2 linked regions of the Oryctolagus cuniculus genome follow. The protein of the gene in region 2 interacts with the protein of the main gene of each other region in a biochemical or structural test. Links are inferred from orthologs where the notes say so. Each region holds a gene or a part of one and is shown on either strand. Other genes may lie near its edges.

Evidence for each region.
Region 1: of the proteins of TOP2A (region 2) and PIAS4, one has a biochemical effect on the other in vitro, tested with the Homo sapiens proteins (2 studies listed by BioGRID). The link is inferred for Oryctolagus cuniculus from reciprocal best matches to the Homo sapiens genes TOP2A and PIAS4.

The regions. Positions count from the first base shown.
Region 1 is NC_091447.1:59,284,244-59,287,924, forward strand, and holds part of PIAS4 (E3 SUMO-protein ligase PIAS4), read right to left. Parts: intron 2,990-3,681; coding exon 2,905-2,989; intron 2,049-2,904; coding exon 2,007-2,048; intron 1,921-2,006; coding exon 1,830-1,920; intron 1,755-1,829; coding exon 1,626-1,754; intron 1,246-1,625; coding exon 1,140-1,245; intron 429-1,139; coding exon 355-428; intron 271-354; coding exon 110-270; intron 1-109.
Region 2 is NC_091448.1:22,079,456-22,083,269, reverse strand, and holds part of TOP2A (DNA topoisomerase 2-alpha), read right to left. Parts: intron 3,559-3,814; coding exon 3,433-3,558; intron 3,116-3,432; coding exon 3,005-3,115; intron 2,862-3,004; coding exon 2,756-2,861; intron 2,677-2,755; coding exon 2,567-2,676; intron 2,235-2,566; coding exon 2,142-2,234; intron 1,795-2,141; coding exon 1,680-1,794; intron 1,591-1,679; coding exon 1,469-1,590; intron 1-1,468. UniProt on the Homo sapiens protein: Key decatenating enzyme that alters DNA topology by binding to two double-stranded DNA molecules, generating a double-stranded break in one of the strands, passing the intact strand through the broken strand, and religating the broken strand.

The sequences.
Region 1 (3,681 bases), on a different chromosome or scaffold from region 2:
CGCCCGCCGCGGGGGCCACGCCCGCCATCGGCTCGGCTCAGCCACGAGGCCGGGGCCAGGCCCTGCCTGACGTGGGAGAAGCCAGACTCCGGCCGGCGCCGGGACTCACCCGTCGATGATGAGCTGGTCGTAGGGCGCCGGCTTGTCGCACACGGGGCAGGTCCAGGTGGGCTTCTTCTCATTCATCTGCAGGTAGAAGACGGCGTCGAAGCACTGCAGGTGGGCGCACGTCTCGGCGCGGCAGGGCACCGTCAGCCGCATCTTCACCAGCTGGGGGCAGTGGGGCGTCAGCGGCCGGCCGGCCCGCACCGAGGCCGGCGGGGGCGGGGCGGGGCGGGGCCGAGGGCGACTCACGGGGCAGATGAGGGAGACGCGCACGCCGGTGGTGGCGATCTCACTGTCCGGGTCCAGCCGCAGCTTCTCTTTGACTGGGGGAGGCAGAGGGCGAGGTCAGAGGGCAGAGGGCAGGGGCAGGCAGGTCGGGATTCGGGTCTTCTCCAGCCGGCCCAGGGCCCTGGTGGCGTCTGGGACAAGGGCTGCCAGTGGCCACTGGGTCCAGGCCCAGCCCAGGGGCACGCGTCCCGGCCCTCGGGCTTTCCTGGAGAACCTGGGCAGAGCTACCCCGGAGACCCCCACCCCCACCCCGGAGACCCCCTGGGGATGAGTGACAGCACAGGCAGCCCCCCCACCCCCGTGACCCTGCTGTGGGGGCCCAGGAGGCTCCTGCAGCCCCCACCTCGCTGAGCCCGGACAACAGGGGCGGGGCCCGGCCCCTTCCCTTTCCCTGCCTGGGCACGGGATGTCGTAGGAGGCCCAGAGCCTCCAGGCCCCTGCACGGACCCAGGGCTGGGAGCCCCCAGCGTGGCCCTCCCGCCCCGCCCGCCAGCCCTGGCGCGAATGCGGAGCCCGGGGCGTGGTCCGCTGGGAGCCCGCCCTGGCGCGAATGCGGAGCCCGGGGCGTGGTCCGCTGGGAGCCCGGGGCGTGGTCCGCTGGGAGCCCACCCGCCCGCCCTGGCGCTAATGCGGAGCCCGGGGCGTGGTCCGCTGGGAGCCCGCCCGCCCTGGCGTGAATGCGGAGCCCGGGGCGTGGTCCGCTGGGAGCCCCGCCCGCCCGCCCGCCCGCCCGCCGCGGGGCTCACCCAGCGCCTTGCACAGCTCCGGGTGCTTCACCCCGATGGTCTTCAGCCGCTGCAGCAGCTCCGCCGAGCTCAGCTGCCGCACCAGGTACAGCGCCACCGAGTAGCTCTGGGGGGCGGGGGCGTCAGCGGGGGGGTGAGTGGGGCGGGTACCCGCAGGGTGGGGTGGGGGGTGTCAGTGGGGGCGTGTCCCAGCAGGGCGGGGTGGGGTGTGGTGGGGGTGTCGGTGGGGGCGTGTCCCAGCAGGGCGGGGTGGGGTGTGGTAGGGGCGTCGGTGGGGGCGTGTCCCAGCAGGGCGGGGTGGGGTGTGGTGGGGGCGTCGGTGGGGGCGTGTCCCAGCAGGGCGGGGTGGGGTGTGGTGGGGGCGTGTCCCAGCAGGGCGGGGTGGGGTGTGATAGGGGCGTCGGTGGGGGCGTGTCCCAGCAGGGCGTCGGTGGGGGGTGTGTCCCAGCAGGGCGGCGGTGGGGGCGGGTCCGGGGGGGCGCTCACCTTGCCGTAGTTGCCCCAGGTGACGGTGATGCGGTTGGTGGCCGAGGACAGGTACATGAGGTGTGTGAGGTTGATGGGGCGGCAGGGCCTCTTGGGCTCCACGCCGGGCTTGTTGGAGGGGTAGTAGCCCTGCGGGCAGAGGCGGGCTCAGGCCACGCCCCGCCCACCCCGCCCGCCCGCCCGCCCGCAGGGGCGCGCACTCACGGGCACGGAGCAGTAGCTGTGGTTGACCTTCACCGCGATGTTGGGCGGGTACTGGTCCTCCTGCGGGCAGCTGGTGTCCGAGTAGCAGATTCTGCAGGGACAGCGGGGCTGTGGGGGCTGCGGCCAGGCAGGGGGGAGGCGGGCGGGGCGGGGGGCGGGGGGGGGGCGCCGGCCTACCTCAGCACGACCTGCACGGCTTTCACTCCGGGCTGCAGCTCTCTGTGGGGGATGGGAGGGAGGGAGGCGGGGTCACTGCCCAGGTCCGCCCCCAGCCTTGGGCAGCCTTGTGGGAGCCGGGCCGCAGGCCTGCGCAGGGAACGCGGCGAGCTTGGACAGAGCCACACCCTGGCGGCCAGGGACGGGGCACACACGGCGCTCGCGCAGCGCGGGGCCCCGGGGACGTCACGCCCAGGGAGAGACGCAGAGGCCACGCCACCCTGTGGGCTCCCGGGCAGGAACGTCCAGGCCTGGCGAATCCAGGGACAGGAAGTGGCTGGGGGAGGAGAGGCTGGGAGCAACCGCTCGTGGGGGCGGGGCTGTCTGGGGTGCCGTAATGTTCCGGAGTTGGCGGTGCCCGGCTGACGGGGTGCGCCGGACCCCGCGTACACGCTCCCACGTGGGGTCTTCTCGGCCCTAAGGAGCGAGCCGTGCAGGAACCCATGGCCGGCAGGGTCTCCTGGGGGGGCGGCCACGGGGACAAAGGCCCCGCCTGGAGCACGGTTCCGGGGCAGCCGTGGGGTCTGCGGCGCCGTGACCTGGGGCCGGCGGGCAGCGGGCCGCGGGGGGGGGGGGGCGCCGGGCGCACCTGGAGTTCCGGATCAGCTCCACCTGCCTGGGGAGGGAGGGGGACTGGAGGGGGGAAGGGAGAGGGGGGAGGGGAGGGGGACGCGCACCTGGAGTTCCGGATCAGCTCCACCTGCTGGGACAGGGGAGGGCGGGGGTGGGGAGAGGGGAGAGGAGGGGGACTGGAGGGGGGAGAGGAGGGGGGGCGCACCTGGAGTTCCGGATCAGCTCCACCTGCCTGGGGGGGAGGGGGAGGGGGCGGGGAGGGGAGGGGAGGGGAGGGGGGGCGCACCTGGAGTTCCGGATCAGCTCCACCTGCCGGGGCGTCAGGGCGAAGATGCACGGGCTCTCCTGCAGTTTCTCGCTGTTCTGCGGGACTGGAGAGGGCTGGGGTCAGCCGCCCGCGGGGCGCATCGCCTTCCTCCCGCCGACATCAGGCGAGGCCCGGGCAGCCCCGGGCTGGCTCCCGCGGGGCCTCTGGTCACCGGGCAGCCGCTGGGCGGAGGCAGGGTTAGCCGAGGCCCCTCCCTCTGAACTGGGACTGGCAGGCGCGGGCGGCGGGAATGAGCCCACAGCGCCCCGGACGGGCCGGCCAGGCAGCGTGGGAGGCCGGCGGCCGCTGCGGGGCTTCTGGGAAAGGGAAGAGATGAAGGCAGGACCACGCGGACCGCCTCCGGGAGAAACCAGGGAAAGTCCGCGCAAGGCAGGAAGGAGGGGCGGCGAAGCCAGCAGAGGAGCAGGGGACGAGCAGAGCCCGGCGCACGCGGCTGCGGGCGCCAGCGAGGACCAGGCCGGGGCGGCACCGGGGCACCCAGCAGCCAGGGGAGAGGACGCACGTGCCCACAGACAGGCGCCGAGCGAGGGCCGCCTGCCGCGCACCGGGTGAGGCGCCCGCCGCACCTCCCATCCCGCTCCCTGCTGGGGCCCTGTCCCCGCGTGGGAGACCGGGAAGACCCAGCCCCGGCCACTGTGGGGATCGGGGGGGGGGACGGTAGATGGGGAACCCCTTCTCTCTGCAACCCTGACTTTGAAATCATTCGATCCTAAAACCGGAAACACGCATATTGTG
Region 2 (3,814 bases):
GGACAAAGAAAATTAACAATTTGGCGTTAAACCTGCTAGACACTTTGCTGTAAGAATTCTTCGGCCTTGGGGGCTGGCATTGTGGTACAGCAGGTTAAGCTGCTGACTGTGATGACAGCATCCTATATAGCTATCAGTTCCTATCCAGGCTGCTGCACTTCCAATCCAGCTCCCTACTAATGCACCTGGGAAAGCAGCAGAAGATGGTGCAAATACTTGGGCCCCTGCACCCATGTGGGAGACCCAGATGAGTTTCAGGATTCTGGCTTCAGCCTGGCTTAGCCTGGGCCATTGTGGCCGTTTGGGGAGTGAATTACAGAATGGATGATCTCTCTCTCTGTGTAACTCTTTCTTTCAAATGAGTAAGTAAATATTTTTTTCTTAAAAAAGTGGGGAGGCAGTGCTGTGGTGCAGCAGGTTAAACCCCTGGCTTGCAGCACTGGCATCCCATATGGGTGCTGGTTCGAGTCCTGGTTGCTCTACTTCTGATCCTCTCTGCTATGGCCTGGGAAAGCAGTAGAAGATGGCCCAAGTGCTTGGGCCCCTGCACCCTCGTGGGAGACCCCGAGGAAACTCCTGGCTCCTGATCAGCTCAGCTCTGGCCGTTGCGGCCATTGGGAGTGAACCAGCAGAAAGAAGACCTCTCTTTCTCTCTGGCTCCACCTCTCTCTGTAACTCTGAACTCTTTCAAATAAATAAATATTTAAAAAAAAAAAAAAAAAAAAAAAGAAAGAAAGAATTCTGCCTCTATTTTCCTATCTGACATACCATGGTGATTCTTCAGTGTTTGTTTGTTTGTTTGTTTTTTAATTTATTTGACAGAGTTAGACAGTGAGAGAGAGAGACAGAGAGAAAGGTCTTCCTTCCGTTGATTCACCCTCCAAACGCCAATCCAAAGCCAGGAGCCAGGTGCTTCCTCCTGGTCTCCCATGTGGGTGCAGGGCCCAAGCACTTGGGCCATCCTCCACTGCCCTCCCGGGCCATAGCAGAGAGCTGGACTGGAAGAAGAGCAACCAGGACTAGAACCCGGCGCCCATATGGGATGCTAGCGCCACAGGCGGAGGATTAACCAGGAGAGCTATGGTGCCGGCCCCTCTTCAGTGTTAGTGCATACATTTTTACTTAAGTTATATCATAGATTCCATGCCTGCATATGTCACATTTTAATATAATAATTTGCCAGTCAATGAATATTTTGGATGTCAAATTTTCACCTAACCAAGTTATAATATGCATCATTAAATATCTTTGAACACCTTGCATATTTATGAATATCCTTGTAGGAATATTATTTCTATAGAAATACAATGGTTAGATCAAAGGCAAGCACATTTTATAGCTTGATAGATTTTACCAAATTGTTCTCTATTATGGATATACCATCTTACATTTCTGCCAAACATGTTTGGAGAATGATTTTGCAGATTTCTGCTGTAATGCTTTTTGGAAATATGGATTGTCTGTTTACCTCACCATGATGGTAAGAAGACATTTCTGCCACTGACCCAGCTAACTGGGCAACCTTCACTTCTCGCTTGTCATTCCGTTTGAAACAAGTAAACAAAACCTTTCTCTGCCCTGGTTTCAAACCTGTAAAATGAAGACGGGCAAATAGTTAGCCATTTCTGGGTACTGATTTCTACTTTACAATAAAATTATACCAACAAATTGGAACTCACCATCTACCATTGACGGGATAGATCTCTCATTATCAGAATTTGAGAAGAGGATAAGTTCTTTGTTTATGAAGTCATTGTATGTCAGATATGTGGTGGTTTGCCCATATAAGTAATCCTGAGGGATCAAAGAGGGTAAGTATTACATGATTTAGTTTAAAAAAAAAATCACTGGTCTTAATAAGACACAGAAATAAAATATAAAATATAAATTATGTGGAAGTATTTATGTTTTAAAAATTAAAAACGAATTTAATTGTTGCACAATTAGAAAAAGAATGCATCACCTTTGTAATTTCTTTCAGGCCTCATACATTCACCCAGCAGTTGAAATAAGAAAATTTATATAGTTATTATATTAAATTTTTACTGAAATAAGTATTCAGTAAGTGTAATTTGCTATAGTATCAATCCTAAAAGCTCTATCAAATAGTGCATTTCGTGGAATATATTTAAAATTGTTACCTCAGGAAGGCCAAGTAACTTTCGTTGTCTTCTATCCTCCATGAAATGAGTTAACCATTCTTTTCGATCATCTATTTGCTTTTTGCTAAAGGCCTACAAATTAGAAAAGGAAAAATATGTCAGTGGCACTAACAGGTTCTAAAATCTTTCTCTCATAAAAACAACCAACCAAGAACAAAAATCCTGTTATCTAAAATAAACTGGGTCCTTCTATGGAATATACTTACTAGAAATATTCTATTTTACAAAACACTCACATAAAAACTTACATGTTGATTGAATAGTTACAGCAGTGCTTTCTAAAATTAGAATATATATATAAGTGTATATAATATATATATATTACAACTCATTTATATATATATATATATATATATATATATATATATATATATATATATATAAAAATTACAACTCAGACTCACCAGGCTGATTGCAGCATCATCTTCAGGACCAGAATATTTGAACTGGATACGATGTCTCTTCATATCTGCAAAGTATTCTTTAGCTTCCTTTGATGTGCTAGTGCCCAAACCTACGAAATGAACACCCATATAAATATTGTACAATGGTATATAACAAAATGAGAATTTCTATATGGTTTCAATACAAACCTTTGTAATACTTGACTTTCCACTTTTTATGATTTGGAGTAGAACTCTTCCATTCTTCAAATTCGGGAAGGCTATAGAATGCCATTTCTTGCTTGTTTCTCGATACCTGTGAGGAAGTGCACATTGCTGTGGCTTTGCATTCTGTGGAGTCCCTTGCATACCACCTCACATCACTGGGGTTATGTATACATCAGGTTTGAGGAAAAGGACCTTAAAATATTCACTCTGGTATCGCAGAAATTAGCATACCTTTACAATTGGAGTGATAAATTCTTCCAGAAAACGATGTCGCAGAAGCGAAGGCCAGTTGTGATGGATAAAATTAATCAGCAAGCCTTTGATATGGGAACCATCTTGGTCCTAGAAATATTTGGAAAGATAAAGTACAAAAGGATTATTTTGAAACTAAGCAAAATTATAATTGAACTACTGGCAATTTCTCAAAAAACCTTCTATGGGAATAACTTAAAACAAACGATTTAAAAAAGAGCTATTCAAATTCAGACTCATTTAATCTATATATTTAGTATATAGGCACAAGACACAAGATTAGAAATTTATTAGAGATAATGAATAAAGCTACTTAAATAACTTATTATTATGGCAGGAAAGCAATGTAACAATAAGATACGCTTAATTGTGTTTAACAATCTAAACTACTTAATAACAAATCTGACCTGATCTGTCATAATCATTATCTTCCCATAACGAAGAGTCTTTAATGAATCTTCATCTTCATAGTTTTTCTTGTACTGAAGACCCACAATCTTGATAATATTGTTAATTTCAGCATTTTCCATAATCTGAAATAGACATATGTCCCCCCCAAATAATAATTTTTATAAATTTGAAAAGAACAAAGAATTATAACAGTATGTATTGCTTGGGTTTTTTTGAGCTTCAATATTTTGAATTATAGGCATTAGCCTATAATTCAATAAGTCAGAAAGATCTATTAGGGTATGCTACAATGTACACAATTTTTTTTTTTTTTTTTTTGACAGGCAGAGTGGACAGTGAGAGAGACAGAGAGAAAGGTCTTCCTTTGCCGTTGGTTCA